4 linked regions of the Drosophila melanogaster genome follow. The gene in region 1 interacts genetically with each later gene. Each region holds a gene or a part of one and is shown in the gene's direction. Other genes may lie near its edges.

The links.
Region 2: of Dfd (region 1) and lab, changing one suppresses a phenotype caused by changing the other (phenotypic suppression), as found in Drosophila melanogaster (one study listed by BioGRID).
Region 3: of Dfd (region 1) and nej, changing one enhances a phenotype caused by changing the other (phenotypic enhancement), as found in Drosophila melanogaster (one study listed by BioGRID).
Region 4: of Dfd (region 1) and exd, changing one enhances a phenotype caused by changing the other (phenotypic enhancement), as found in Drosophila melanogaster (2 studies listed by BioGRID).

The regions. Positions count from the first base shown.
Region 1 is NT_033777.3:6,788,864-6,796,416, forward strand, and holds the start of Dfd (deformed), read left to right. Parts: upstream 1-2,972; 5' UTR 2,973-3,461; coding exon 3,462-4,248; intron 4,249-4,633; coding exon 4,634-4,734; intron 4,735-4,799; coding exon 4,800-4,977; intron 4,978-7,553. UniProt on the Drosophila melanogaster protein: Sequence-specific transcription factor which is part of a developmental regulatory system that provides cells with specific positional identities on the anterior-posterior axis. Homeotic protein controlling Drosophila head development.
Region 2 is NT_033777.3:6,674,370-6,681,794, reverse strand, and holds the start of lab (labial), read left to right. Parts: upstream 1-3,204; 5' UTR 3,205-3,448; coding exon 3,449-4,664; intron 4,665-7,425. UniProt on the Drosophila melanogaster protein: Sequence-specific transcription factor which is part of a developmental regulatory system that provides cells with specific positional identities on the anterior-posterior axis. Required for proper head development.
Region 3 is NC_004354.4:9,680,823-9,688,470, reverse strand, and holds the start of nej (nejire), read left to right. Parts: upstream 1-2,803; 5' UTR 2,804-2,921; exon of another isoform or gene 2,922-2,968; intron 2,969-4,319; 5' UTR 4,320-5,864; coding exon 5,865-5,919; intron 5,920-6,131; coding exon 6,132-6,716; intron 6,717-6,828; coding exon 6,829-7,197; intron 7,198-7,261; coding exon 7,262-7,648.
Region 4 is NC_004354.4:15,989,450-15,998,468, forward strand, and holds exd (extradenticle), read left to right. Parts: upstream 1-3,250; 5' UTR 3,251-3,475; intron 3,476-3,486; exon of another isoform or gene 3,487-3,664; intron 3,665-4,022; 5' UTR 4,023-4,059; coding exon 4,060-4,324; intron 4,325-4,515; coding exon 4,516-4,834; intron 4,835-4,897; coding exon 4,898-5,156; intron 5,157-5,235; coding exon 5,236-5,523; 3' UTR 5,524-7,060; downstream 7,061-9,019. Other genes in the region: CG46312 (uncharacterized protein), read right to left, coding at 1-27, 405-501, 1,634-1,655; CG8939 (uncharacterized protein), read left to right, coding at 7,675-9,019. UniProt on the Drosophila melanogaster protein: Transcription factor which acts with the selector homeodomain proteins altering the regulation of downstream target genes such as wingless (wg), teashirt (tsh) and decapentaplegic (dpp), thus affecting segmental identity.

The DNA.
Region 1 (7,553 bases):
TCACATTACAGACTGCTTCAGACTATTTCCTATATAAAATAATCAAATTACAACACTCTGCAGTGGTATCAAACACGCTGGGCGTCTTGGCGTTGCCAAAGTTTAAAAACAAACTTGGGCAGCATGTTTTTTTTATGTGTTGCTAAAATTTCCATGTTCCTTCATTGGGTTAAAGCTTTAACATACAAAAATTACAAAATAACTTCAAAAAGTTTTAAGAATTGAAAGTTATTCCTAATTTTTCTAAATATACAAATTGTTTTAAGGTCTCTTGTGCCATTCCAATGATTAGCATTTACATAATTGCAAATATTAGTGAACTTATCAGTTGTTGTGGATACCACCCATTTTGCATAACATTATTCGATCGCCGTAGAGTGCTTTTTAATTTTATATCACAAAGTTTTGATGGCTGGCTTAAAGAAGCGAGCTGAAAACAAAGAAAGTCCATACTCAAAGCATGGTGGCTCTCTATATGTATTCGCATTGGTGGTCGTAATGTGCCTCAGTGGATGTGGATGCGACATCATTAATCACGTTTCAGTGTGTTGCCTCGTGCAGCAAGTGAACTTCCTTCTGCCGCCGCCTGACAGTCGCAACTGATTGCTGGATCTGAATTGGGATTTGGACTCAAATGCCCCGGACAAAGAGCAAGCAATAGCAACAAACACCCACTGTCCCCCAACCGAGCCATCCTCGTTGTACCACAACCCATCCTCCCTGCTGGCTCAGGGAGCCCTCATCCCTGCGCAAGCTGGGACTTTCCCAAACCTCCCACATCGTGCTTCCATCCACCTAAGGAGCTACGTCAGAACTGAGAAAATTCGATGTAGCAGCCGCTAATGCAACTGAGTTTTAAAGGTCCTCAAGCAGCAGCCATTCAGGAGTGTAATATGCTAAGCATGGAATCTAAATTTGGTACTATCTTTAAAAATTTTAAATACATAAGAAATTAAATAACAGTTTTCTGATTTTAAATTTTCGAGAAATATAATAATGTAATTTAAAAGCAATTATATTTTTGGATTTGGACCAAAGTTATTTGTAAACAAATATGCGTAATGAATCACACAGTAAAATTAGTAAACATGGAACTTCCATTAATTAACACTAGCTGGTCAATTAATTCGAACACTTTAACGTGGAATGAAGACCTAAACCAACATTTACTCCTATGAGTCTGGCCGACGGACCACAGACTAAATTTAAGTTTTATAAACTTAACTAGCCTAATGACGTTTTGATGGTGACCATCAAAATCGAATCAGTTGGAAGTCGATTAATTAGTGGCCATGCCCCTATACCGCTCACATATGGAACTGGTGAAGGAGGTGGCACAGCACGTGGACCTGATTGTAAGGGGGTTAAGATATTTTTGGTGGGTTTACCGGAGGTCCAATTATTCGGCAATTAGCCAGAGTCACTTTCAGAAACACACTCCAGAAGTGTGACACGAATTTATGCTCAATTTAACTTTTATTTGAAGTGAGTTAGGGCAGCTGGCTCTATAGGGTCAGCAGATTTCAAACTTATTAAAATATATATCACAAAAATTTAAAATCTGTTGAATTCATTAAGCGAAATAATCAAAAGTTTGTATGATATTACCTATAAATAAATTGTTAATATTCCGCATTGCTCGAAGTACGAATTTAAAAGTACAAGCCATATTTTCTTTTACCCACATTATGGATTGTTATGAATCAGTCTAAATATTTACTAAAAACAATATTAAAGCATTAAATATCCAACCTTCTCGATGTGCATTATACAACAATCATTCTATTGATTTTCCACGTTTCGCTTGCTCCATTTGAATATGTGCCCGTCATCGCCATAACAACAACATCGGAGGAAAAATCACGGTAGTAATGACAACAATAATAACAGCCTTAGCCCCAGCCAGACCACAACAATAATCACAGAGGAGAACAAAGTGATATTCGTTGGTTGTTCAATTGAAATTGTTGCAAGTCAGCTCGGACTCTCCAACTCGGTAGCTGAATTCAGACGAAGAAATCGGCATCCAATAGTACCGTCCCCTCTTTACGATCAATACTGTTGTTACCCACGCGTTCTCTGCATCGTTCCTACAGAATCCATTTATGAAAGTGGAAAATAAATGGTGTGCTCCATATCCACACTTACGTCTTGTCCGGGATCGATGAAAGCCTTCTGAAAATGGGCGGAGTTTCTTGGGTCCAGACAACTTTTTCGTCGAGTTCAATTTTCGAGCGTGCGCCATGACTTTGAAGGTACCAGCACACTCACAGCAAAAGTACAACCAAAATAGTAAGTCTGAGGGAAGAACAGTCGAGGGTAGGTAAGTAGGTGTGCTAATGAGCTAAACAGTGCTGTTTGAGATATAAATATAACATTGAATCAATTCAGAAATCCTATTTCTCTATGTAGACAATTGCGTTTTTAATTTTCTATTCGATTTACTGTCATTTCAATTTATTAATCCTTGGAAAGTAAAATAAGCTTATTTCGTAAAAAAATAAATAAGACGTTACTAAAATATAAAAAAAATATATACACTGTACAGTAAAAGTAAAATTATATTTTAAAGTTTTAATTAATGGCTTTTTATTTTTTTTTTTTAAGAATACTTCTTTGAACTAGTTCAATATTGTATGCCTTGACTGTTCACGCAACTCAAAATGGGTGTGACCAAAGATCTGGCCATCCCGCTTTAACCACAATGCTCCCTCTCAGTCGCGCTTGCGAGAGAACTATGGTCAGTGGTGGAAAATGGCGTACGAGGCGAAGGGTGAGAAAAGGTGAACAGACATGGCTGCTACATATGAATGGCTTTATTTGTGCGCGTGTGTGGGCCGTCCTTCGATTGCTTCGGCAGTGAAAACCCGTTTTGATGGCAATGGCGGTGAGAGAGAGCGAGCGAGAGCACAAGCAAACAAGAGCGAAGAGTGGCGAAACAGGTTCGCTCGCACGGAGAGTTATCGCCAGCGAGCATAACAAAAAATCGGCTCGAATGGGACGGTTCGTGTTCGCAGCGCACTCGTAAGACCGAAACGTCCGACTTTTCTCCCTGTGTGGGATTGAAATTCGTTGTAAAAACGTTTTTTATAACCGGAAAATAACACCATAATCAAGTTTCTCAGAATTCCAAGGCCCCACGGCTTTTAAAAGTGACAAAAAAGTGCAAACAAAGTATAATCAAAACAATAAAAGTGAAAATTATGAAGACAACGGGAGCCTTCTAACCCCTTTGTTTAGTTAAAAATATTAAAAAGAATACGAAATTTATTTTAACCAACACAATCTTAAAAGTAATTACTACTTGCAAAAGCAGCGCCTTTAATCAATAGTTAATGTACTAAAAGCAAAAGGTTCGGAGTATGTGCAATCCAAGTGATAGTGCCCAAGAAAAAATCGAATAACAAAGTAATAACCAGGAAAACGCATCCGGTGAACCCCGATCCAACAGACCTTCCGTCATGAGCTCTTTTCTCATGGGTTATCCGCATGCACCACATCATGTCCAGAGTCCCATGTCCATGGGCAATGGCTTGGACCCAAAGTTTCCGCCGTTGGCCGATGACTATCATCACTACAATGGACACTATTCGATGACCGCATCTACGGGTCATATGAGTGGTGCCGTCGGCGGTGGTGCAGGTGTTGGGTCTGTCGGAGGTGGTGGAGCAGGTGGGATGACTGGTCATCCGCATTCCATGCACCCGGCGGACATGGTCAGTGACTATATGGCGCATCACCACAATCCGCACAGCCACTCCCATTCGCACACCCACTCACTACCGCACCACCATAGCAACAGTGCAATATCTGGACACCACCAGGCATCCGCCGGCGGTTACAGTTCCAATTATGCCAATGCCACTCCGCCCTCACATCCGCACTCGCATCCACACGCCCATCCGCACCAGAGCCTCGGCTATTACGTCCACCACGCCCCCGAATTCATATCCGCAGGAGCGGTGCACTCCGATCCCACGAACGGATACGGACCGGCGGCAAACGTTCCAAATACGAGCAATGGCGGTGGTGGCGGAGGAAGTGGCGCAGTGCTCGGAGGTGGCGCAGTGGGTGGATCGGCAAATGGATATTACGGCGGGTACGGTGGGGGTTATGGGACGGCGAACGGAAGTGTGGGCAGCACCCACTCCCAAGGACACTCGCCGCACTCCCAGATGATGGATCTGCCCCTTCAGTGCAGCTCCACGGAACCACCGACGAACACGGCGCTGGGACTGCAGGAATTAGGTGAGTCCATACTAATAGAATTTCTGTTGTCTCTTGGAATCCGTTGAGATTTGATAGGAGGATATACTTAGTACTATTTCAATAATCTGAAGATTATCAATCGATCCTTATATTAAATATATATTTATATTTATATTTATATAATTATTTTTTTTATTTATATATCAATTCCATAGCAAAGTCATTTTACATTCGTATATCCAAACCTTTTAAAATGTCTAGGGAGCAGATTGAGAAAAACACTTAAAATAAGCCCACAAGATTGTTATGCCGCATAGTAATATTAAAAAAGATCTAATATTTTGTACATATATAAGCCCTTCAATTCGATTTTAGCTACTCTAATTACACTGTACCAAACTAAAGTGACTTCCATTCCATGCAGGCCTAAAACTAGAAAAACGCATAGAAGAAGCTGTACCTGCCGGACAACAACTGCAAGAGCTAGGGATGCGATTGCGGTGTGATGATATGGGATCCGAAAACGTAAGTACTTGCAGCAGATGTGCCAAGAGAGAATGCGTAATCGAGGCCTTGATTGACTTGTTTAGGACGATATGTCAGAGGAGGATCGGCTCATGCTGGATCGATCTCCAGACGAGCTGGGCTCCAACGACAACGACGACGACCTCGGGGACTCAGACAGCGATGAGGATCTGATGGCGGAGACGACCGATGGCGAACGGATCATCTACCCCTGGATGAAGAAGATCCATGTGGCGGGAGTTGGTAAGTTGAAAGTTTCTCTTTATCTCCTGCTCTCCCCTTCGCGCCCATGTCGTGTCCCATTTTTCGGGGTATGCTAATTAAATTACTTAGCTGCCAACACCCACTTGATTCACTGACAGGCCCCTGTAATGTTCGTTCCTGGGCGAAACCCAAAATGAAAATAAACAATCTAAAAGCCAAAGACACCAGCCAACCGAGTAACTTAAAAAAGAAAACTGCGACTCCAAGCTCATTAATCAAAATCAAGAGTGCCACGCCTTGCGTCGAGGGGCGAACCGTGTTCACCAAACGACAAGTTCCTGTACATACTACTCCTATATAATATAATATAATGCACATAACGTTAAGTGAGTCCCACTCGCTGCAATCAGCACTTTAAGAGGCTCCTGGTTATTAGGCCTCTTCAGAGGTTCTTTCAGCACTTGAACTGACATAAAATCAACTTGGACTGCTGAATGGTACGGTGCCAATTGATACATCATAAAAAGTCATCCTGGGAATGTAGTATAGAGCTGCATATATATGTAGTTTTTTTTTTTAGGCAATTGAAACATTTTTGTCTAGGAAGAAACAATCGTTAAATTAAACCTCGAAGATATTTTAACGAACACTCATTCTCATTTCAATGTTCTTCTGAAAAATTGTATGTATCCATTCATATGCTTAGCCCCCAGAAAATAATTTCCAGGCTCTCTGAATTATACACAGTAATTTTCTAAGGCCTACAATGAAAGCTTTTTCGACTCATTCTTGGCACAAAAACTGAATGCAACTTGGACATGGAGAACAGGTTTCTTGCCTGGTTTCATTCACCAGATCCAGAGACCGACTGAATGGGCTCAGTTGAGTTGACCTGGCAGAAATAATTACTAATTAATTGTCACCCCCCAAACGGGGAATTCATTCAGCCATGTTTCGAGTGTGTTACCAACAACATCTGACGGCCAACTGTAGATTGTCGTCGCTTATTGTTTTAATAAAACCAAAATAGGGATGCCACGGGGCGGCAAGTAGGTGACGAATGCGTTTCCCAGAGGATCGGATGGAGGTCTGAAGCTACTGATAGATTGCTTTTTAATTAGCACAGCACAGTACACAGGGATACTCCAGTTCGACCATAACCTTGACCCAAATGGGTAATTATAACGTTTCGCTTAACGCCACTCCGACTCGCTCATTGTCAAATGCCTCATCGGTTCATCGGGTTCCCAGTACCCACTCCCGATTTACTTGACTGTGGAAATTTGTCGTTTCACTGAAAAAAATATAGTACATAATTCAAAGTTGGCTTCAAACTAAAGGGTTTTTAAATAATTTCTAATTTTTAATAATCCAATTAAACATGTTAACATGATGAAATTTGGCTTTACAGTAGGAACCGAGGGTCATATAAAAGCAATGGCTTAACTATATTATTAATATATACCATTACACATTTATTGTGTTCGTACCGGTTTCTAAGATGCTATTTCTAATATTGGGACATTTAAAATAAAACAACAAAGCCCGCATTTGATTTTCTTTATTGTGGAAAGTTTTTCTTAGTGTCAGCATCAAAAATCAAACCCAAAAACGAAATATCGAAGTTGTGCGGCGCGCAGGGAGACAGGGAAACGATCGCTCGGGGGCATATTTGACACAGTCGCAAGGTACACCATACCAACTTATCTTCGGGCTCATGCTCGGATTCCGATTCCAAGCCCCCGCCCCTCCATCGGTAGGGTATAACTCCGACTGAGTGACGGATGGTCCGTGTCATTTGATGTTAATGTTGTGACATTTATCATGAGCGCACGACCACGAGAACAAGACGGGGCTTGATTATCGCCAGTGCATCATCTTATCCAGCGTCTTGGCATCCGTCTCCTTCTCCGTCTCGTTGTGCCCCAAAACGCAGACCCGTGACCCCGGGTTCCCGCCGGTGTCATGTTATTCCCTTTACAAATGACTTACACTCGCTTAGCACTTGCCCGAAACTAAGGCCCAAACTATGAATGCCGCTGATGTGGCGTGTGGTCTCTTGCCGAATTTAATTTGCTTTGGCCCTGCGGCGGCCTAAAACTTGTTTCAAACTTGTGCCTCCGTCGAATGAGAGAAGCAGAGCTAGGTGTGAATCGCATTTGGAGAGCAATTTGTGGATTATTTAATAGGTGTCATTAAAAGTGTTGAAAGGTTGTGAAAAATTAATGGAATCGGGCTGCAGTCAGGTTGCAGTTGAAACTCTTAAGTTTGATGTGATGAACGAAAATAAACAGAGCGCTTATATTAATAATCGAATCTATTTGATTAGATAATTTATATCGCCTTAAGTAAGTGTATTACATTGGACAAATCCAAATACAATTACAAATTTATGCAACAACTGGAAAGTAAACATATATTGGTAAAGTCCACGAACTGTTTTATGGTTTCTTAGACTGCGCTGGTAATGTTATGTTTAAATATGTTGTTACACAATACTTTAATGAAATTAGACCATAAACTTATTTTGTTGACCACATGCTAATGCCAAAACTGAACGGAATAAATTCTGTGCGAAGACTTGACTGAACAATATTGATTTCATGCACGAAGGC
Region 2 (7,425 bases), 110 kb from region 1:
CGGACAACGGACAGTGGACAGCGGCCAACGGACACCGAAAACCGGACAGATACGGGCTGCCGTGGGGAGACACCAGAGCTGTGTAGCAAGAATCGTATCGAACGGCGGCACTCCAAGTTCCAGAAGTTTTGGAGCTGTAGCTGCGGCGCCCCCATCAACTTGGCGTCAGCTTGTGGTCAGTTTTCCACTATTCCGATCGGCTGTAGAGGCTTGTCGCCTCTCGGGGCTGTTGGGAACGTCATCTAGCCCATATATCTTACTTCCGACGCTTTCATGGCGCTAAACAGACGTTGATGGCGCGACTTACAAATCCCCCGAAACCTATAAGGTGTGCGACGGGCACTTGACTGGACATTTATATGCACTAACGAGTGGTGTGGAAATAGCTTTTATGGTTAATCGATTGTGATATGATGAACTTTACAGATATACATACATTTATATTGGGATTTGAGTGGATCATAATTGATCAAAGCTCTATCAGATCATGATCAGAAATAATACAATTTTAAGGGTAATCAAATCAATGTGATTTACGAACGGTAATGCGTATATATATATATATATTTACATATATTACAATACTCAATACTCAATGTACTCAATATGTATGAGTACATGTTTTAATTTTATTTTTGAGCTTTTAATTATGTATGTATGTTTATCCTGGAATATTTTTAAATATTGTATGTTTATGTTATAGACATAGGAGTGTTGATCTCCCGCGCCTACAAAAAATACTAGAAAATATAGTTGCTTCGAATTGTCAATTCAAATGGGAATTCAAATAAACAATAGAAACCTCTATCGTAAGATATCGATACATATTACAAGACTAGCAAGCAAATTTAAAATATCAAAAAAGTTGGCGTGGGAGATTTTAAAACATTTAAAAAACAAATTTGAGCTGCGTCTTCGTCTCTCGGAAACGCCTCCTTCTGCCTGTTCAATCATTTACAACGTATCTAGTATAAAACCTTTATACTCTACGAGTAACGTGTATGAAAACAACTAATTAATAATTTGTACTATTACAAAGAGTTTTACATTTTAAAAAGTCATTAATTTACCATAAACATAATGCTCTCATTACAATGGATTTACACAAAAGTATCGAAAAATGTCTTTATACTACTTCAGTCTTAACGTAATTTTATGATAAAAGAAAAAGCAGAATATATATAACTTGTTTATTGCAGCAATATGTTCGTGTAAGAGTAAATACATAGAGAAAGTAAATTAACGGCTTCTGCCGTATGTACATAAATATAAATACTTAAACTTTAATGTTAAAGGCAATAACATCTTTGAGTTCTCAATTACGATTGTTAAACAACTTCATTACGACAAGAAAGATTGGCTGAGGGAGGAAGTATTGCATAACACCCCAGGAACTGTCAAAAATGATCCCAATCCTAGCTGAATGCTAAAACAAGGATACCTAAGCCTTGCATGTATTTCGCTTTAGCCATGTGAGATAGTTTCAGGCTTGGAATCGGGATTGGGCCGTGGTATGTTAGTTGTATATGTACATACATATGTATGTGATTACTGAAAGATACTCGCACACATCCTGTTACTATTAATTGCTGCTGTCCGAAAATATAACAAATCACCTTGGAGCGTTGGGCAGGACCGCCCGAAAGGACGAAACGAATGGCCACTCCAGCCGACCTCCCCCTCCGAAATTCCCCGTGCGAGTGTAGAGACAAAAACTTGTGAAAATGTCAATCAAGTTGAACAAAAAACGAAAAATTCCCAATCCGAGAGTGGAAGGAGCGAACCTCGAAGTTTTCCAGACAGCCAAAGATGATGCATTGTGCGTGAAAGGTGCATGAAGATATCTGACGGTTGTATCTCTATCCCTGCCAAGTGACAGACCCATACACCGGATAACTCTTAGGGGGCGCCTACGAATTGCATCCCACTGAGTCAGAGTCAAGGTCCGGAGATAATGTCAGGATTCGGGGTCTGTCGGGGTCGGGGAAGTCGTTCGACGACGATTTAAATTCAACAGTGCTGCCATAGATGAGCTGTCATATGTGCAAATGACGATTGACAGCTGCCACAGTCAGCATCCGTTTGCAGCTCCTCCTGGTCGCAACCCCGGTCCGCTCCCAAGCCGAAAACCCATTCCGAGTGCCCGGTTCGCATTTCCAATCCCATAGCAAGCTCCTCTTCTTTACCTGTCCGTCAATTCATTTGGGAATTTCGAGGTGCTAAAACGTGCCAAAACCGCAAAACAAACACACAACATTGGGTTTCCAGTTAAAACAAGACGTCGACATGAGCATGGTCAGGGGCGTAACTTTCAATACTATCAGCAGGCGGCAGGGGTGGATTAACTTGGACACGAACTGGGCCCAAAACATGTGCGAAAAGATTTTCGGGGCGAAGAGTTGTCTACTATTTAGTATTAATAAATACACATTTTATAAAGAGAATTTAATTACACTTGAGAAACCATTCAGATACTTTTAACAGAGAGTACTTTAAATAATACCTATATAAGGAATTAAAAACAATAATAACAACAACAATTTTTTGGATTAGAGCATAGTTTTGAATTAGTTTAAATTAGAAATAAATGGTCTTTATATTTCCCGACTTCCATATATGGCGAAGAAGACTTCGAGTAAAACTATTATGATGATAAGAAATAGTAAGTTTTTCTAATTGGCATACGGGAAGTGAATTGTCAATTGGATGTTTCAAAACATTTTAAGTAAGATCTAGAACAAGTTTCTTTAAAATGCTTAATGTTCTTAGGTGGACCGACGATCTATATAAGTGTTTCCCATTAATAAGGATCATTTTAGAGATCTGATCATCCCCAGCCAGTTCCACACCAGCTCATTGCATAATTTCAAGTTCCTTCATAGAACTCCCATCTTGAGTAGCCGTCAATCCGCTCCTGCCATGGCGACTAGCAAAAAAAAAACGAGCAAACAGGGAACGAGAAAATCTAAATGGAAACGGCAACTGCCAAAAACCGGTAGTTGAAATACGGGTATTTGTATATACGTATGACTAACCCCCGAACCACTGATAAGGGCAGTCATCCGAAGAATCCCAGGGAGCGAGCGAGACGGCAGTCGCAACACGTATGTAGCACACACGAGAGGAAGCGGGACCACAGGCAGTCTGCAGAGGGGCGTGGCCAAGACCAGCGGTTGTGCGGTCTGAAAGAAACCGGGTTCGGGCCAGTAATCAGTCACGACTTGGTAAGCGCGCAGGCAGCACGTCGTCGTCGTCATCGCCAACGGGAGTCGTGTTTTTCGGTTCGATACAGATAAAACCCACGTCGATAGCCCTCGACCGTCGCGTAATATTCTTAGAAAGCAAACAGCTAAAGAACTATTTCAAGAACTGTGTGGCAAGTGAAGGGTAGTTAGTGATACACCGGTTATATCGGAGTGGCGAGAAAGTGTGGTTCCGGCTGGACAATATGATGGACGTAAGCAGCATGTACGGCAACCACCCGCACCACCACCATCCACATGCCAATGCCTACGACGGCTACAGCACCACCACCGCGTCGGCGGCCAACGCCAGCAGCTACTTTGCTCCGCAGCAACACCAGCCCCACCTGCAGCTGCAGCAGCAGCAACAGCATCAGCATTTGCAGCAGCCCCAGCAGCACCTCACCTACAATGGCTACGAGAGCAGCTCCCCAGGCAACTACTATCCGCAGCAGCAGGCGCAGCTGACACCACCGCCCACCAGCAGCCACCAGGTGGTGCAGCAGCACCAGCAACAGCAGCAGGCGCAGCAGCAACAGCTCTATCCGCATTCGCATCTCTTTAGTCCCAGTGCGGCGGAGTATGGCATCACCACGAGTACGACCACGGGAAATCCGGGCACGCCGCTCCATCCTAGTAGCCACTCTCCGGCGGACTCCTACTACGAAAGTGACTCGGTGCACTCGTACTACGCTACCGCCGCAGTGGCCACAGTTGCTCCACCCAGCAATAGCTCACCTATTACCGCCGCCAATGCAAGTGCCACCAGCAACACACAACAACAGCAGCAACAGGCAGCAATCATCAGCTCCGAGAACGGGATGATGTACACCAACCTGGACTGCATGTATCCCACGGCCCAGGCTCAGGCTCCGGTTCACGGATATGCCGGCCAGATCGAGGAGAAATACGCCGCCGTCCTGCACGCCAGCTATGCACCCGGAATGGTGCTGGAGGATCAGGATCCAATGATGCAGCAGGCCACGCAGTCGCAGATGTGGCACCACCAGCAACATCTGGCAGGCAGCTATGCCCTAGATGCCATGGACTCGCTAGGAATGCACGCCCACATGCATCACGGCCTGCCCCACGGACACCTGGGCAACTTGGCCAACAATCCGCATCAGCAACAGCCACAAGTCCAGCAGCAACAGCAGCAGCCGCACCAGCAACCGCAACATCCGCAGAACCAATCCCCAGCGGCACACCAGCAGCACCACCAGAACTCCGTGTCGCCCAACGGTGGAATGAATCGCCAGCAGCGCGGGGGAGTGATCTCCCCGGGTAGCTCCACTTCCTCCTCCACCTCCGCCTCGAATGGAGCACATCCTGCCAGCACGCAATCAAAGTCGCCAAATCATTCCAGCAGCATCCCCACCTACAAGTGGATGCAACTCAAGAGGAATGTTCCAAAGCCTCAAGGTAAGTTGAGCTAGAAAGTAAACTCGGAATAGGGTTTCAATGGTTGAAACAGGCTCAAATTACTACGTCCCGAATGATTTTATTCCGTTTTTCTTTCCTTAAATAATCGAATTTTTATTCCCTTCTTTAAGTATTTTAGAATTATATAATAAATAAGGTAAATATAATAGAATACTGACACAAAAAAATGCTCCTACTGATATATTCTCTAAATAAATCAGATGAATATATAGGGTTCGGTTACTTTAAAAAATTGAATTCTCTTTATTTATTTTTAACACTGATCAAGTAGTCGTTTGATATTAAATACCTAATTAAATGCTAATTGAAACTATTGCAAATTTATATTCGTGGACATTTCGAATGACGCGAGTTGTAGAGGCGTATAGTGAAAAGGTCTTGTTGCAAATTTAGAACCAATAGATTAACCCAAGTCGTTTTATCAAGCGCTACAATTGCCTTCTTTCCTTGTGAATGGATACAAATACATTTAATTTGTGCAATTTTTATTCAAGTTGTTCGCACATTCGCAATGTCTGCATTCTAAGGGCAACTAAACGCGTCTCATTAGGCAAAGTCTCTGGCAATTAAGAAACCGCATTCTTAGCTAATTGCCATATTTTAACTCTTATAGTTCTCTAAACTCGTATAGTTCGCTCAATAGATCACATATAGCTTACGGAATGTATTAAGTTAATCGGACAGTTATTATGGAAAGAAATACACACACTTCTATACATACGTATGGTGATTTTTTTAAGAAAAGCATAAGAAAGAACCTCAAGTAAATACCAAAAAGCGTAAAACGATGACTTTCAAAACTGATTGACAGGCCAAGATACAAGAATCAGTCAACCAGTAAAACCAGAAGAAGATGAATAAAACTGTGAAAGAAATGACGTCGAACGAGCAGATTAAACAATATTATGAGTACATTTATAAGTTAGAGAACTTGGCCATCAAGAATAGATTGATCATAAGTATGAACAATTAGCACTGCAGAAATATTAGCAAACATAAAACAAGTGGATGCGTCAGACAAAATGTCAAGAAAGACGTCCAACCGAGGGCATGTCACCTAAAAATATTCCTGTCTCTTCAAATGCCAAAGATTTCGCCCACCTCTGCCCTCGGCTCTACAGCCCCCGGCTACAGAATCTCGATTCTCCCCGACCTCCACGCCCCTTTCCGCCTCTCATAACTGTCGCCGTTCTCCTGGACTCTCCTCCTTTGGCACATTTCTTGCATATTTCAGATAATTTTGTCAATGCCTGTGCAGAGTCAGTCAGGTTGTTACTTGTCACATTGGCGAGTGGAGTTTTGTATCTCGGAATTAGCCAGCTAAGAAAATGTATTCGCTTTGATAAAAAAGATCAGAAAAGTCCATATTGTATGCGATAAATAAAACGTCGTCGATTATCCAAAAGAAGCAGCTGCCACTGAAAAAACGAGTATTTTTATTGATACTTCGTGAATTGCATAAAATTCGAGCGTAAGCCTTTAATTGCTTTTCAAAGAGTTTGAGGTCAGTCGAATAAATAAATAAATAGCAACTAACTGAATGGGGGGGCACAGGTGTTTATGGCTCACCCTGAAATTTGTAATATACGTAATTGTTGGAAAAGGTTGTAGAACAAAGTTGAGGTCGAGTTTTGAATGGTTTAATTTCTTGGGTTAAATATTTCTATTAATACAAAACTATACCAAAGAAAATTATATAATTTAAAGCATGTGACCATGCTGAAAGGTTTTTCCAATAAAACAAATTGTATTTATTTGTGAAGGGATTAGCTCCGCATTTGTTACCCACATTGCCATACTCCAGCCATCCTTCCAAACCTGTTGACCGAATTCATTTGGCCTGTGGGCCTCTTCTGGTAATGCACTTAACCTGTTCATGAATCGAGTTGCACAACTGACGCTGATCGCTGATATCGGAGCATCGAGCCTCGGACCACTTACAGTTCAAACGTTAATCCCCCGGCTACACCAATAATCATACAAATATTTGCTTATTAATGCTGAAAAGTGTCATTTACATGCATCGTTTTCAATTAAACGACGCCACAGAGGCCCGAGTCGAACGCAACCGATCCGAGATCCCAGATTCCAGATCCCAGATCGCCGATCCAAAATCCCCACGCGCCGCACCCAAAACCGAACCTTACAGCTCGAGGCCCAAATACGAGCCCAAAAGCCCCTCAGATGACGCGTGCAAGTGGAACCAGGCGCTTAGATGGGGAGCAGGGTGGGGCAGAGAGGTGTAGATTGCACAGAAAGAAAACTAATTGGTTGAAAATATCAATTGTTGTTTCAAAAATAGGGTATTACTCGCCCACATATTGATTAACTATCATGGTAGCCATCCTTAGGTTTATTTTGTATCAACAAAAAGCTATTTTATAAGATTATTCTAGCTGGGAAATTTTATAATTTTAATTTTAAGACCCAAGTAGAAGTTCTTTAGATTCGATTTCGAATATGGTTTTTCTCAATGTGTTCTAGGGGCGACCGCAAGTCAAACAAACAATTAAAGCGGCTGGGAGATGCAGCTCGAATCCAGAATGAAACTGGCTGCATGGGGCGGGGGCACAATTTGGGGGGCAGGGGCTGCTCCACGGCATGCCGAACTGGAACTGGAAGTCAAGTTGGCTGTCAGAAAAAATGATTATTTAAATAAGAGTCTCTCGTTTGAGCCTCACTGCAACCGAACTGTCACTGAGCAATGATCTGCTGCCTCGTGGCTCCCCTGGAATCCCTG
Region 3 (7,648 bases), on another chromosome or scaffold:
TGTATTGCTTTTCGGCGGATCTGAATCGTCAATAACCCGTGCAGGTAATTGTTCATTAATATTTTTATTATACATTATCTCATTCTCCACCATAAGCATTAAAGTGCGTGCTCGAGGCACTTTATTAGCTAGCCTATTTTTAGCTTTAAATGATCTATGTATTGTTTTTCTTATTTTGTTTTTTTTTGGCTTTTCCTGGTTTGACTTTCGTACTTTCATGTTTTATTCTAAATTTTCCAAAACGTATTTGTTATTCGATAATTTTTACGTTGTGTGTTTTCTTTGGGAGTCAAAGTAGAAATGAGGGTTTTGCTTGTGGGTCGGTTGTCTTGTGATTGAAATTATGTTCAATGCCTACTTTGTTAAACAAATTTAAATCGAAATACCGAAGCTCACTTTGTTTTTTTTTTATTGATACAAATTGTCTTACATTAAATCTAAAATATTATTTGTGTGCGCAGTTTTAAACAGCGAATACAATAACCCAAAGAGCAAATAGCCATGACACCCACCCTTATGTAATAGCTTTTTGAACACCATCCAGCGGGAAGTCATGCAACTAAAGGCAACTGTTTATCTTTTCTTAACCTAGGTGGCGCCATTTCTATTTCACAGATGGATTAGGCGATACACCGAAAGAAATCAGTAGATGATTGATGATATAAAAAAATAAAATAAATGTATTGTCTCAATAGGTTATATTTTGCATTTTATTTATTTATTAGAACGTTGCAGACAAGAGTTTAAATCATATAGATATCGGCTATAGCTGCTGGGGCTTTCAGCCGGACTTCTACATTATTGTTTACGTATTTAGTTACAACATTATTTGCAATTATTTACATTGTATTACTGCACTTACCTTATTGGAATATCTCAGATAGGTTTTAAAGCAAATAAAATACGTTAATGTAGGATAATTTTTTATAAAGTGCATATGCACTTCTACAAATATAGCTATTTCTTTACGCCTACATATGCGTAACCTAAACCTGAAAATTATGAATATGTTCCCCTTGTAAACAGCAAATATTATCCAAAATAGGCGCTTTGCTCATTTTACTCAATTGTACAACTAAAATTTGTATTCCATTTAGGTACTTTGATTTGCACTGTTTTCTACCCTATGTTACGCTCCACTTACAATAGAGTTTTATCAAATTGTAAAACCAAACTTTATATTCCAATTATTTTTAGGTTTTGAAACTCTTCAGTTCTTCATTCTGCATTGTTATTATAGCACGTTTCATCCATATAAATACACAAGATTAAAGGCAAATGACAATAATATCCGAAAAGATAGCTAGATAATGAATAATTACGCTTTTTAGCTACACAGCGGCCACAATGACAGCACTGTTCCTCGTACGAATGCTAACGTTAAGAAGAGGAAGAGACGAGCGGTGCTGGGTTGAAAAAAACTGGAAAAGGGGGGAAATTGGCGCAAATTGTGCACGCGAGGCGCAGCAGGGACGTTGGATCTTAACTATCGGTTTGTGTTCCTTACTTTGCGGCAAAATTAATGCAACCAATTGCCGATATACTGAGAAAAATGGCATAATTAAATAACCAGATCCAACGCATGTAGTGTAAAAAGTCGGGCATTATTCCCAATCGCAAAAGAGAGAGAATCGGTATCACTCGCTGACCCGTCTCGTTCGAGTCTTGATCGCGGTATCTCGCTTGCACCCACATACCGAGCGCCAGCCAGTCATATGGCCGTCCCGTTCATTTCGGTGACAACGTGTCGGTGTGTGTGCATCAGTGTGCAAGCTTATATGTGTGCGCTGTGTATCTGCAACAAACAACGGCGGCCGCTAACAAAAAAAATTGTAAATAAATACGCTGCCGTTCGACAGCGCGCGAAAATCGAAAAAGTGCTCGAAAAGTCAACGAAAGAGCGCCCCCAAAAGAATATAAAAAATTCCGCTAGCGGAAAGGGGGGAACAACAGAAGCAAGTGGGACATTTATTGAACAATTTGAAAATTAATTTGTTCTGTGCGTTGTTTGCATGACCACCGGTTCGTCGGACAAGGACGACGATAGTGTATCCTTCGGCGGCTGATTTTTCGGCTTGCCTCTCTCTCACACGTTCTCTTTGTCTCTCACGGCAAGAGCGAACGGAAAACACGCTAACACTGAACCCACCAGAGATGCGCAAATCCAATGACTCGATTACTTACGTGATCCTCTGTAAATATCGTTTTTCCTTTGAAGAACTTTAAACTAGATTTTTACGATGGACAAACGTTTTCAAAATTAATGTCTACAAATACTTTTTTAAACAAAAAATTCTAAACAACTGCACTCATTCAAGATGTTGATTTATTAATTCATATTAAACATCTTTTTGGAATACCTATTTGATCTCAAAAACGCTGCAAAGAATATTCATTTCATAATGATGTTGGTCTCCAACCAATGATGTTTCTTACAAAACTTCTTTGTGCACATTTTCAAGTGACCGCATAAAAGTATCGGCGAATGTGTCACCGTCATCATGTGGTCATCTCTGGACTCGCTGCTTCGTTATCTGGCGCGCCATATGTGTGCGCGTGTGTGCGTATCGGCTCTTTGGGAGCGCATGGCGTGAGCGGTCTCGCCGACGCAGAGAGCGAGGGACTAGAGCAAAACAGTGTTCCGACAGCGGTTAACAGCTGTTACGGGGCCAACAGACTGCTAGCAAAGGCATTTATATGGATTTCGGGTCGTAACAGTACGACAACAGCGGCCAAACAGCACGCGAGAGCGACGAGAGCCCACTCGCGTGTTGTGTTAAACAGTCAATTTTAGTGTATTTCCGAGCTCGGTGGTGTATTTGAACGGCTAGCCGCGGTCACACTGAAGCAAAAACATTTTTGGCTCGGAGAACGATTAACACAAGCGGACTGAAATTTTTTTGTTTTAGTGTTGCGAAAAAGTTTGTGGGATTTTTATAAAATCGCCGGAAAATGTGAAAAATATATGGTATAAAACCGAAATTCGGCAAAATTGCAAAGTATAGTTAGAAATTTAGTGCGTGGCAATCGGTGACGGTGGAAAAATAAAAATACCGGCCAAAATCGGGCTGAAATTTTTTTCAAATTTTCTACGGCATTTTCTTGAATTTCGTATTTTCGCCAAATATTTTTGCGATTTTTGTGTGGGCCGGGAAAAATGAAAAACGCTCTGGCGGAGACAACACAAAAAATTTCTGCAATAGAAACTTTGAAACGACGTGAAGAAGAAAACGAAACGAAAACGACGAACGAACACAGAAAAAAAATGGAATATATTTCTGTCGTCTGTTTTTCTTTCTTTTTCCAATGCTCCTCGCACTCGTTGCCGTTTACCGTCGTGTGTATATTGCACACTAATGCCGCTTGGCACTAATACCATCGCATGCTTTCTCTCTCGGACTCGTGCTCGCTCTTGCACGAACTCGCTGTTTTCGAAGTGTGCGTGTGTGTAACTGTGTGGTGAAAACGGCGTTGGCGTCGCTGTGAGAATTCTGTACGCGCGCCCCAAACCCCAAATGTGTGCGTGCGTGAGTGTGTGAAAGCTTTTGTCAGCCAGCCCCACTGCACTCTAGTGTCATCCCGCTCGCACCCCACTCGCCACTCGCCGCCCCAACAAATTGAATTTCATATGATGGCCGCTCGAATGCGGAAGCAAAACCAAAATACGGCCACTTTTTCGGCCATTTAATTTATAAACTAGACTATAGACTACAGCCGCAACTGGCTGATACTTCAATTAATTTTTTTAAGCAGTGCTCTGACTTTTATTACCTGTAAAGGTGTGAAATTTTTTTTCCAAAAATGTATTTGTCATAAAAATGTTAAGCATGTTTCAAAGTATATTTTTGCCAACGACGGCACTTGTTTTCCATATTTTTTAGGGGACTGGCGGCAAAATGAAATTATTATTTTCATTTTCGTGGTGTGCGCCAAAAGAGCGAGAGGCCAACACACACGTCTGCGAGTAAAATAACGAGTACAGCGCTGGTAGTATTGGCGAATAAAATTGCGAGGCAAGAACAGACAAGAGAGAGAGAGAGAGTGAGTGGTCGTCAAGCGGCACACAGATGAGTGCAACGAGACCGAGAGAATTCTCGGTACTGTTCTCGTTGTTCTTCCCTTTTCGCCCCGTCTTCGGCACGTCTCGTCGCATTTTAGTTTCGTTTTGTTTCCATTTTCCCCTCGGTTTCGCTGTCCACTCGCGCGCGGCTAAATTACAAAAAAGAAAGAAGAAAATAAATAAATATTGCTTTCGATTTGTGTTCGTCCATTCAACATAATCTAATAGGCTGTGTATTATTCTTCTTGTGCGTTTGCAGTTAATGTGTAATGCTAGAGCGGCAAACGTCGGCAGCAGCAGCAGCAGCAACAACATCAGCATCGACAAAAACAACAGCAGCGCGCCAGCAACAAAAACAAACCGAAACACAACAAACCCAACAACAGCCAACAATGTGAATTGCTTTTTTTTCCTTATTAATTGTAAACGATAACCGAATCAAGTGCAATCAAAATTAAACACAAGCATATATAATATATGGTCAAAATATCTATATATATATATATATATTCCTGTGTAACAAAAAGCCGCCAAAAACAAATCACATAAAATATGTAAGATAGCGGAGAAAAAGGCGGAAAGAAAAGGAAGAGAAAGAGGAGAGAGCCAAACCAAGAACCGTTCTTTTTCGCTCAGTGGAGGCAGGCAGGCAACAACAGACAAACAAACAAACAAACAATAACAAGAGCCGCCCAGCCAAGGTCAACTTTTGGTGTTTTTGGGGCCCAACAACACAAAATGCACGCGTGTGTCTGCTGCTGTTCGACAAACAACAATTGCAACAACGAGAACAACGACGGCAGCAGCAGCAGCAGCAGTAACCACAACAACAACGACAGCAGCATCAGCAGCAGCAGCAAAAACAAATTGCAGCTAAAAAAGCGCAGGGCCGAAGTCGAAGAAGAAGAAGAGGTACTGGTCAAGCGGACGCAGGATAAGAACAAGCATCAAGAGGAGCAGGAGCAGGAGGAGCACCAGGCGGTGGAAAAGTTGTCTGCTGGCCAAAGCGCCAGTGGCGGCGACAACGATCTCAACGGCGCCGCAACGAGAAGGCGGTGGTGGCTGCGCGATCCTCCAGGATCAGCGGAAGCGGCAGAAGGAGAGGGAAAAGGCGAAGGAGTGGAAGTGGGTGTGGGAGCAGAAGGATCAGCGGGCACAGGTCCGACGACGTGGTGGTGGTCAGCTCCATCCGTTGACGTTGCGGTGACGATAGCGCCGGCTACGTTGTTGCTGTCGTTGCAGCGGCAATTAGCAAAGGAATTATCTAAATCAACAACAACAACTGCAACAAGAACAACAACAGAAGCCACATCCTTAGCAATAAAAAGCGGAGCAGCAGCGTTAATATCATCATTAAGTGCAAGCATCGCCAACATCATCGATTACAAGATCCCAAAACACCAATACCAAAACCAAATCCCAATCCTCGCCAGCCACGCCTTTTGAGTGCCTCTTTGTGTGTTGTGTATTGTGCGTGCGTGTGTTGCAAAGTGTCCAAACTAATCAAGAAATCTACAACTTAAAACACTAAACACTTAACCAAACAAACAACCTGTGCAACAATTGTCAAAGTGCTAGGCGACAAATAATTTCTGAAAGAAGATTTGACAAGTTCCAATAACGAAAATATCAGAACACACTCGAACTCCAACATAGACGGATCATTGGAGAGTTAGTGAAAAAAAAAAGCGAAAAATCAGAAAAACTTTATAAACTAATAGAAACAATACTACTCAGATTTTTCGAACGTTTTTCGTCTGCGTTTCTGTTTTTTTCCGAATCGAAAGAATCAAACTAACTCTATATGATGGCCGATCACTTAGACGAACCGCCCCAAAAGCGGGTTAAAATGGATCCAAGTGAGTACCGAAACCAGAATATTCGATTTCTCATTTTTTTTTTTTTTTTGTTAATAACTTTTAGTTTTAGTTTATCAAACTTGTATTCTCCAGTTATTTCATAATTTTTAATAAATTCCTTACGGAATTGAAAAAGCAATTAATTCTATCCAACTATTTTTTTTTTTAAGAAAATTCCTTGCTAAAAACAATTTGGTTGTATCTTCCTCCAGCGGATATCTCTTACTTTCTGGAGGAGAACCTGCCCGATGAGCTGGTGTCCTCGAATAGTGGCTGGTCGGATCAGCTGACCGGCGGAGCAGGCGGTGGCAATGGAGGTGGCGGCGCCTCCGGTGTAACCACAAATCCCACATCCGGCCCAAATCCCGGTGGCGGACCCAACAAGCCGGCAGCCCAAGGACCCGGCTCTGGCACAGGCGGAGTCGGTGTTGGAGTGAATGTGGGTGTCGGCGGTGTTGTTGGCGTCGGCGTTGTGCCTTCCCAGATGAACGGAGCCGGCGGCGGCAACGGATCCGGAACGGGTGGCGACGACGGCAGTGGCAACGGCTCAGGAGCGGGCAACAGAATCAGTCAAATGCAACACCAGCAACTGCAGCACCTACTCCAGCAGCAGCAGCAGGGCCAGAAGGGCGCCATGGTGGTGCCCGGCATGCAGCAGCTGGGCAGCAAGTCGCCCAACCTGCAGTCACCCAACCAGGGCGGCATGCAGCAGGTGGTGGGCACTCAGATGGGTATGGTCAACTCAATGCCCATGTCAATATCGAATAATGGCAACAATGGCATGAACGCCATACCAGGTGATTAATCGTTCTTCCTTGTAATTGGATATCCAAGTTATCCTAGCCAATGCAACCAAATGAATATAGCAACAATTATCTGAAAACCCAAATTATGTTATATCTTTCGCAGGCATGAACACCATTGCGCAGGGCAATCTGGGAAACATGGTGCTGACCAACAGCGTTGGCGGCGGCATGGGCGGCATGGTTAATCATCTTAAGCAGCAGCCTGGCGGCGGCGGCGGTGGGATGATCAATTCCGTTTCAGTACCCGGAGGACCTGGAGCAGGAGCTGGTGGCGTTGGAGCTGGCGGCGGAGGAGCCGTTGCCGCAAACCAAGGCATGCATATGCAGAACGGCCCAATGATGGGACGCATGGTGGGGCAACAGCATATGCTTCGTGGCCCGCATCTCATGGGTGCCTCTGGAGGAGCTGGTGGGCCAGGAAACGGGCCTGGTGGCGGAGGACCACGCATGCAGAATCCGAACATGCAAATGAGTGAGTTTCTAGTGCCAGATCTAGTGTATTTCCAGCATGGAATTGAATCGATGGCTGATGTAAGATTTCCGTCCGTTTGCAGCTCAACTCAACAGTCTGCCCTACGGAGTGGGTCAGTATGGTGGCCCAGGCGGTGGTAACAATCCTCAGCAACAGCAGCAGCAACAGCAGCAACAACTTCTCGCCCAGCAGATGGCCCAAAGAGGTGGCGTCGTACCGGGCATGCCGCAGGGTAATCGGCCCGTTGGCACAGTGGTGCCCATGTCCACACTCGGCGGCGATGGATCAGGGCCCGCGGGGCAGCTGGTAAGCGGGAATCCTCAGCAGCAGCAGATGCTGGCGCAGCAGCAAACCGGAGCCATGGGCCCGCGTCCTCCGCAACCAAACCAGCTGCTCGGTCATCCCGGCCAGCAGCAGCAGCAGCAACAGCAGCCTGGCACCTCGCAGCAGC
Region 4 (9,019 bases), on another chromosome or scaffold:
AACTTCCGATGTCTGTTACTCGAAGTCCTGCGAAGGCAAATATGAAATAGATTTGGTTAATCGAGTCGAATATGCAATGCTTATTACTTAATTATGCTAAGTTCTCTTTAAAAAAAAACCCACCGAAGTGCTGTTTCTACAGCGTATAATTTAATGCAATTTAGCACCACTTTCCCTTTGCTTGCAAATATAATCAATTCTTATCGGGTATTACAGTATTATGCATTTGGAGCCACATATGTGAGCCAAGGTAAAAAAGGCCCCTCGTATTAAACAGTAGCGAATTTAATTTGAATACCAGATTTTTTTATCGTAGAAACCCCGAGTGTGTGCATTGCAACAAAACGTCGTACGACTTGAATCAGCAATACTTAATGGTCTGGTCATCAGTGATTTGTGCTTACCGGTGATTTTTGGTTCGCCCTTTTGAATTCATGCACAGCTCGAACCCTTTACTCCGTTTTTTCTCAATGAGAAGTGTGGTTTTTTTTGCTGGTGTTTCTGAAAAATACAAATATAAAACGAAATGTAATTGCATTTAACGCACACGTTGGAAGCCAATAAAACTGCATTCGAATTGGAATTTGTACGGGACCTTATTGTATATTTGATGTTGCTTGAAACGTCAAAGCAAAAGTAATTGGAATCATTTAAAAACATAACACTGATTTGCACTATTTCGTGTTGCTGAGAGCCAAAAAAAAACTTATGGAACTGCTGGGTCTTAAAGCAGGGTCAATTTTAAAAGAAAAACATTCAGCAAATGGGTTAAGAGGTCGAGCGAGTATAAACTATTTTATTGTTTTGTTGTATCTTAGATATTAACTTTTGCAACCGGAAAATGACACTGAGAATTTCGTTAGGACCCCCCCTTGAATATATTCGTGTGTTTTCCCAACTAAATTGACGAATGTGACAAACATTTCAGTACGATTGTGATTCTTGTTCCCAACAGCCAATTATTAGCTAACTATGAGTAATTCTTTTATGTTACTCAAGGTCTGCCCTTTTATTATGTTTTATACGAGATTCTTGGGTAATATTAATAATAATAATATTATTTATTGGAATATAACGAAATTCAACGAATAAAGCTTGTCAAAGCACTTTTCAAGTGAATGGGTGTGTTACTAAATTATAAAACGAATCGCAGACATTATTTATTGCCCGATTATCGGTTTTCTATAGAACAGATGGCTTTAGAAATATCACGAAATGAAGTGAAGTCTGATCTGAAACTATGCATTTATTTATACGAAGTCTAAATCTTAATAGGTTTATATCTTATATAAACATATGCCATAATTCAGAAGATAAAGCATAATAAGCCACACAAATAAAATAAGAGAATGCAGTTGAATTCGCTGGATAACTTCTTTTTGCCTTTTACTTGTATCGCAATAGAAGTTTCTGGAATTCCTTTTTCAGAAACCATTGTATCCTTGCTTTTTTTTCGGTTGTGGGAGAAGGAAATGTGTTGGCTGCTTATTTTTAAGCTTATTTTTAATGTTAAAGTAACCTTGGATGGATCCGGATCTTGGTTAGTAGTAAGACATTATACAGTGGTCGGGATAAATATGTGTCTTAGATACAAATCGATTCAATGGGTTGTTGATGATTAACTATTACTTACCACCGTATCTTTCAAAAGTCATATAAGATTTTGTTTCCCCTCCTTTGGGGTGCGCAATGCCAGTTCGCAAATTAGACAAAGATATCGTACTCTCGGGTATTCTTTGTGAAGTCAATCGCAAATTGACTTGGAAAATATATATGGATAAATCAAAATCAAACAAATCGCACTGCCACGGGAAATCGATAACTTTTTTTTTTTTTGATAGCTCTGATTCCGTGCTAATATTGAAAAATATTAGTAACGCTTTTAACGCGCTTATGTATCGCAAAAATTGAAATTTTTGGTCTCTCAACTATTCTGCAAAGGGAAAGAAAATAAAATTAGGAATGCGCATGAACGAACATATGTATACCACTCCGTACTAAGTATTTCTTACATTACTTTAGTTTAGCTCAAATTTACTTATAATTTCGAAGGAAAAAGGTTAATTTAACATTCAAGTATATATATATTTTACATATATATCTTTTCCTATTACTTATGTATTCAGTACTTTTGTATAATGGCCATAAAAAACACTGTTGAAGCGTGATTTTTGTGTAAGCACGAAGTAAAGTAGCTTTATGCAGATATACACTAGACCCAACGTTACAAAAATTGTGGAAAACTGAATTATTTAGTATAGATATATATAAATGTACATTTTCATGCACGTATGCATTTACATATGGATGAAAGCCACGCCATTTAAACTTTTGAGGTTGTGTTCGTTTTGGTCACAATCACTTTTCAATACCTTTTCCACAAGTTTTCTATAAAGCGTTTCTGATCACAATGAAAGTAAATTAATAATTTTACTGAATTAACCGTTTAAGAAAAGATTTTCTCCGAAGTCCACGAACATACGACTAAACGTCACAGCACAATATGACCATAACGACTTTAGTGGGCTGCAGCCTATCACTATCGATTGGCCGAATATGATGTGAATGAATTTTAGCCTTTTCACACTTTCACTTTTATATAATTTATATGGTATTTATTAAAATGAAGATATGTAATAATACGCTTAAAAACGAAAGACCATTTTTAAAAATGAAGTTGACTAAAATAGAAACAAATATATGTGTTATATAATTAAACGTAGTTCCAATCAGCCTTTTAAAATATATGTTATAAGAGTGGATCATCTGTATTTCTTCTATATTCCAATACCAATATACCACATTTTTTGTAGAGGATATCTTATTTATTTTATTGAAAAAATGTTTAAAATATTATTTCAAGAGCCACATTTTAAATAGTATCGATACCCAACTCGCAGTGAGTAAGCACTAGAATGTAACTACGGGTAAGATATCGATTGTCCACGTTTTCACTAGCAAATATAAATTGCATTTTATGGAATACTTATCGATATTCTTACAGTACTGGAAAACTTTTTCATATCGATTTATTTTTCTGCGTATACAGAACGTACTTTCGTTTCATTGTTGTCCAAAAAAGATAATAATATTATATACTTGCGGTTATTTACAACTGCAAGTAATGTGTCACTAATTTTTAGTGAAAATAACACAAAATACGACTTGTACGGCAAATAAGTATACGAGGCAATCACGATAAATAAAAAACCGTGAGTATGGAATTTCAAGTGGACGCTTCTCAATACTTACATGCACATATATCGATGTGTGGATATGTACATACACCTTGTTATAAACAGTTTAAATCTTTTCTGACGTAATAAAATCTCAAGAATGTACATGTAAAACCAACAAAATGTTTTCAAACTGCATTCAAATTAATGCTTAACCATAACCTTGTGTGTATGTAAATATAAACTTGGCAGGTTGATTTTTTTTTACCATTCTGCTGGCACTAAACATACGTACAAGTGTATGTATGTGATGCACTCGGCGTCATTTATCTGTACATGTGTAAAATGTAACGTTACCTGTGGTACACAGCAATAAATAAATAGAAATAAGTTCATAAATAGTTCGGGTAACTGCCCAGCTTCGTGCTACGCATCTGAGATACTTTTTCACCCCCAAAAAGATATGCCGCTTCATGAGATTGCGACAGGTGGAGATTATTGCATTTCCAATAGGATACCAAAATGTCTTTTCACTTTTGCTCAAATGTCTGGGGGATTATTTTGTGGTGGGGTTTGTGGGTTTAATGGCTTTGTTGGTATCTCTTCTATAGATATGATGAATTTTGTAGCAAAAGATTTAATTGGTGTATTTGTTTTCAGTTTGTTAAGTATACATTAACTCAAGTTTTTACTACATTTTTAAGGGTTTCAAACTTATGTTTTTATATAAAAAAGAAATATTTATTAAATAATAAAACACTAAAAAATCGAATTGGTAGAAAAAATATTGGGTTATTTCCTTTTTTCTTGCATGATTTTAATATTTGATGTTTAATATTATTACAGAAACTTGGATTTGTAGCTTGCTTTGTGTTGCGGCACCATGGAGGACCCCAATCGCATGTTGGCCCACACCGGCGGCATGATGGCTCCGCAAGGATACGGCTTGTCTGGCCAGGATGATGGCCAGAATGCCGGCAGCGAGAACGAGGTGCGCAAGCAGAAGGACATCGGCGAGATATTGCAACAGATAATGAGTATCTCGGAGCAATCACTTGACGAGGCCCAGGCCAGAAAACATACACTAAACTGTCACCGAATGAAGCCGGCACTTTTCTCTGTACTTTGCGAAATCAAGGAGAAGACCGGTAAGCTTAAAACCCTATATTTATCTCTCATTCAAGACCATCAAATAAGTTGAAATGGTATTATGGATTTTGTGATTTGCTTGTGATACAATTGATTTACTAAATCAAACACAATTCTTAACGTAATAGTCTTAAAACGTTCAGTATGAAATTATTTTTATCATTCGTCTTCTTCGTTAAAACTATTACAGTCCTCTCGATTCGCAACACCCAGGAGGAGGAGCCCCCAGATCCGCAACTGATGCGCTTGGACAACATGCTGATTGCCGAGGGCGTGGCCGGACCCGAGAAGGGCGGTGGCGGAGCAGCGGCTGCCTCTGCGGCTGCGGCCAGCCAGGGCGGTTCCCTGTCCATCGATGGTGCTGACAATGCCATTGAGCATTCCGACTACCGTGCCAAGCTGGCACAGATCCGTCAAATATATCACCAGGAATTGGAGAAGTACGAGCAGGCATGCAACGAGTTCACCACGCATGTCATGAATCTTCTACGCGAACAGAGTCGCACGAGGTTGGTGTATATAGATAAATGCAAAATGATGGCCATCATTTGGGTAATATAATCGTATTTCAGACCCATTACACCAAAGGAAATCGAGCGAATGGTGCAGATCATCCACAAAAAGTTTAGTTCCATACAAATGCAGCTGAAGCAGTCGACCTGCGAGGCTGTAATGATACTTCGTTCGCGTTTCCTGGACGCACGCCGCAAACGCCGCAATTTCAGCAAGCAGGCATCCGAGATTCTCAACGAGTACTTCTACAGTCACTTGAGCAACCCATATCCATCCGAAGAGGCCAAAGAGGAGTTGGCACGAAAGTGTGGCATCACGGTAAGTAGTGTAGGGCACATTAATCAACAATGCAAATCCGATTGCAGCATAGTAAATAAAACAAAACACACTCATGCAGGTCTCGCAAGTATCGAATTGGTTTGGCAACAAGCGTATTCGCTATAAGAAGAACATTGGTAAGGCACAGGAGGAGGCCAATTTGTATGCGGCCAAGAAGGCGGCTGGTGCTTCACCGTATTCCATGGCCGGTCCACCCAGCGGGACAACCACACCCATGATGTCACCCGCTCCGCCACAGGATTCCATGGGCTATCCAATGGGCTCCGGCGGATACGACCAGCAGCAACCGTACGACAACAGCATGGGCGGCTACGACCCAAATCTCCATCAGGATCTAAGCCCCTGAGGATCAGGGCTGTGAACCACTCCCAGTCCGGAGAATCCCTCATACAGTTGCGGTCAAAATAACTGCGCTGAAAAATCTAACATGCAGTTTTTTCATAATTATGCGGCTTATATTTGCTTCTTCGCCAAGAACAACAATTCTTAAGGGATTTTTAAATTCAGCTTTCTGTCCTTTGGTTTCGAGTCAGATAAGTTTAAAATTCCCATCAATTTAGATATAGTTCCGATAGATATACATAAATACGTGAGTAGAATATAAATACGTAATAGTTAGTTTGTGCTTGCTACATTTTGGTTGGCAGAAAAAACTTTGCCTGCTTAAATCAAAAAAGAAAGTAAATAAGCTGATATGGTTTTTTAATTGACACAGTCTCCTGCTTTTTAACAATATATGCATGCAGGATGTATTAAGAAGTCGACAATTGAATAATGGCCTAATTAAGAATATTTTTTGCCCGAACATAAAACGAAAAGTTTGCTCGCTTTTTTTTTTTAATTCACAATCAATTGAAATGGAAAGCATGTTGTTTGTGGCATGTCAACTGTAAAATACATAAATACGTAATAATTCGCTTAAGCGATTATAATTTGATCAACGTTCTTTAAAAAGGGTTAATAACCAATGCAGTGACTTTTTCTGCATAGCCCCATTTAGCTTATATATTAACCATCGAAAACATATGCAAAGAAACTCGATTAAACTGGTAGTATACGAATATTTTCACAACGAGTGGAGGAGGCACAAGTTTCAGAGCTATTATTTTGACCGCAGCTGTGTATAAATATATTTTAATACATTTACCTACATTTGCGGGTATATACAAATATTGCATGTAAATCATACTATGACGATTCTTTTTTGGCTACAGTACGTATACGACAGCAAAATAGTGTTTACTGAATTTAAAACTGTACGAAATTTTTAAAAACTTGAACAATACGAAAATACGAAACTAAACCATGTATACGATGTATATCAAATAAATAAATAATACATGTTGTTGTTATCCGCACACACGTCAACTAATTACAAAAATATTTTGAATGTAAAAACGGAAAAGAAAAGTCTTGGATAAACAAAATGTCACATTTCTATCGAAGGACGAATTGTATTATTTAACAGCTTATAACATTTAATAGATTTATTAACGTGTATTTTAAAAGTCTCAAAACAATTGTTTGTTTCTTACATCCTAAAAAGTATTAAACATTAAATCTTAATGGATTTCTTGCTATAAAAACGAACTTCCCAACTTAATTGCATTATAAAATCAAGAACAAATTCGTCTTTCGCTTAGTAAGAAGTGTACACTACTCTTTGCCCCCAATTAAAACGGATATGAAAACAGATTATTTGAAAGTATACAAAACGATTATAATTTTAAATGATAAATAACATATGTCTTTGACAGACTTTCGCTCACATTACGGTCAAATGAAACCATTCAATGTATTTCAGTAAGTAAGGTACTGCATTAAACATTTTGGATAACAATAGAAAAATATATAAATACACAACTTTACACAAATAACTTAATAAATCAAAACGAAGTATTAATTAATGGTTTTTTGGGAGTATTAAAGAAAAGGGCGTTATCCTTTGCAGATAATCTATACACGTAATAGAAAGAGATGGAGCATCTGTAGATACACTTGCTCTTCTTTAATTAAAACTATCTGGCTCACAGATAGAAATCATTCTTTTATGTGGGGTTGGTCAATAAAAACAGAAGAATTTTAATTTTTTAGATTTTTGGCAGCTGTAAAACAGACAAAAAATTTTAATTTTAGGCGTATTTTATTTTTATTATGGTTCATTACGGCTTAATGTACTTCACCCCACATCTTACAGTTATTCCCAAAAGTGTGTAGTAATTTATATAAATCACTTTGATCGACCAATTTTAAATTTATAAATAATAAAGTAGAAATTTTAAAAAAATTCACCCGCTGCCCCAATGCATTCCACAATTTAAGAACACGTTCCACTTATCTAGCACTCAATCGCCGCTACCTTGACGCGCATGCTGGCACTGCCCGGAATACTTTGAATTGTCAATACGGCCACACTGTTGGCAACACGTGCACGAATTCGACATTTGATTTGAATTCGTTTTGATTTTTATCGTAATTGTACGAAAAGCCAGCAGCAATGGGCAAGAAGACGAAAGTTGGAAAGACGCGCAAGGATAAGTTCTACCAGTTGGCCAAGGAGACGGGCCTGCGATCGCGTGCCGCCTTCAAATTGATCCAGCTGAATCGCAAATTCGGTTTCCTCCAACAATCGCAAGTATGTTTGGATTTGTGCGCAGCTCCCGGTGGCTGGATGCAGGTGGCCAAGCAGAATATGCCGGTGTCCAGCATTGTGATCGGCGTGGATCTCTTTCCCATCCGTCCCATTGCCGGCTGCATTGGTCTCGTCGAGGACATCACCACCGAGAAGTGCCGCCAATCGCTGACCAAGGAGCTGCAATCGTGGAAGGCCGATGTTGTGCTCCACGACGGTGCTCCCAATGTGGGTAGGAACTGGCTGTACGATGCCTATCAGCAGATCTGTCTCACCCTCAACGCGCTCAAGTTGAGCACACAGTTTCTGCGCAACGGCGGCTGGTTTGTGACGAAGGTTTTCCGCTCCAAGGATTACAATGCCCTGCTCTGGGTGCTCAAGCAGCTGTTCAAGAAGGTGCACGCCACCAAGCCGAGTGCGTCGCGTAAGGAATCCGCCGAGATATTCGTCGTCTGTCAGGGCTACCTGGCGCCCGATCACATTGATCCCCGTCTCCTGGACTCGAAGTATGTGTTCGAGGAGCTGGATCTCGATGCCAAAAAGAAGAGCAGCCTGCTGCATCCCGAAAAGCAAAAGCGCATCAAGGCCGAGGGCTATACGGCCCAGGATATTGCGCTGCGCAACGATCTGGCTGCCACAGAGTTCCTGAAGGCTGAAAATGCACTGGCTGCGCTGCAGGGCATCGGTTCGATTCGCATCGATGATCAGCGCATTGCCAATCACAAGAAGACCACGCCAGAGATTCTCGAGTGCTGCAAGGATCTGAAGGTATTGGGCCGCAAGGATATCAAGGGTCTCGTGCAATGGTGGAAGGATGTTAGGGAGTTGTTCGTTGAAAAGGAAACCCCACTGGTCGTCGGCAATGCCGCAGATGAGAAGCCCAAGCCATTGACGCAAGCGGAAATCGAGGACATGGAAGATGCCGAGCTGCAAACGCAAATTGAGACAATTGTCGAAGAGGAGAAGAAGGACTTGAAGCGTAAGCGTAAGAAGACGCTCAAGACCAAGGCGAAATTGCACGAGAAGATGAACCTTAATATGGTGATCAAGGGAGACGATGGTCCGGTCGAGGAAATGGAGCACGAAATCTTTGACCTCAAGAATATTCGCACCTCTGCCGAGCTTGACGAGCTGCTAGACGTGCAACCCGATTTTGCTGTCGATGAATCGCAGCCCGAGGAAACAAAGCTGCCAAAATACAAGTATTTCG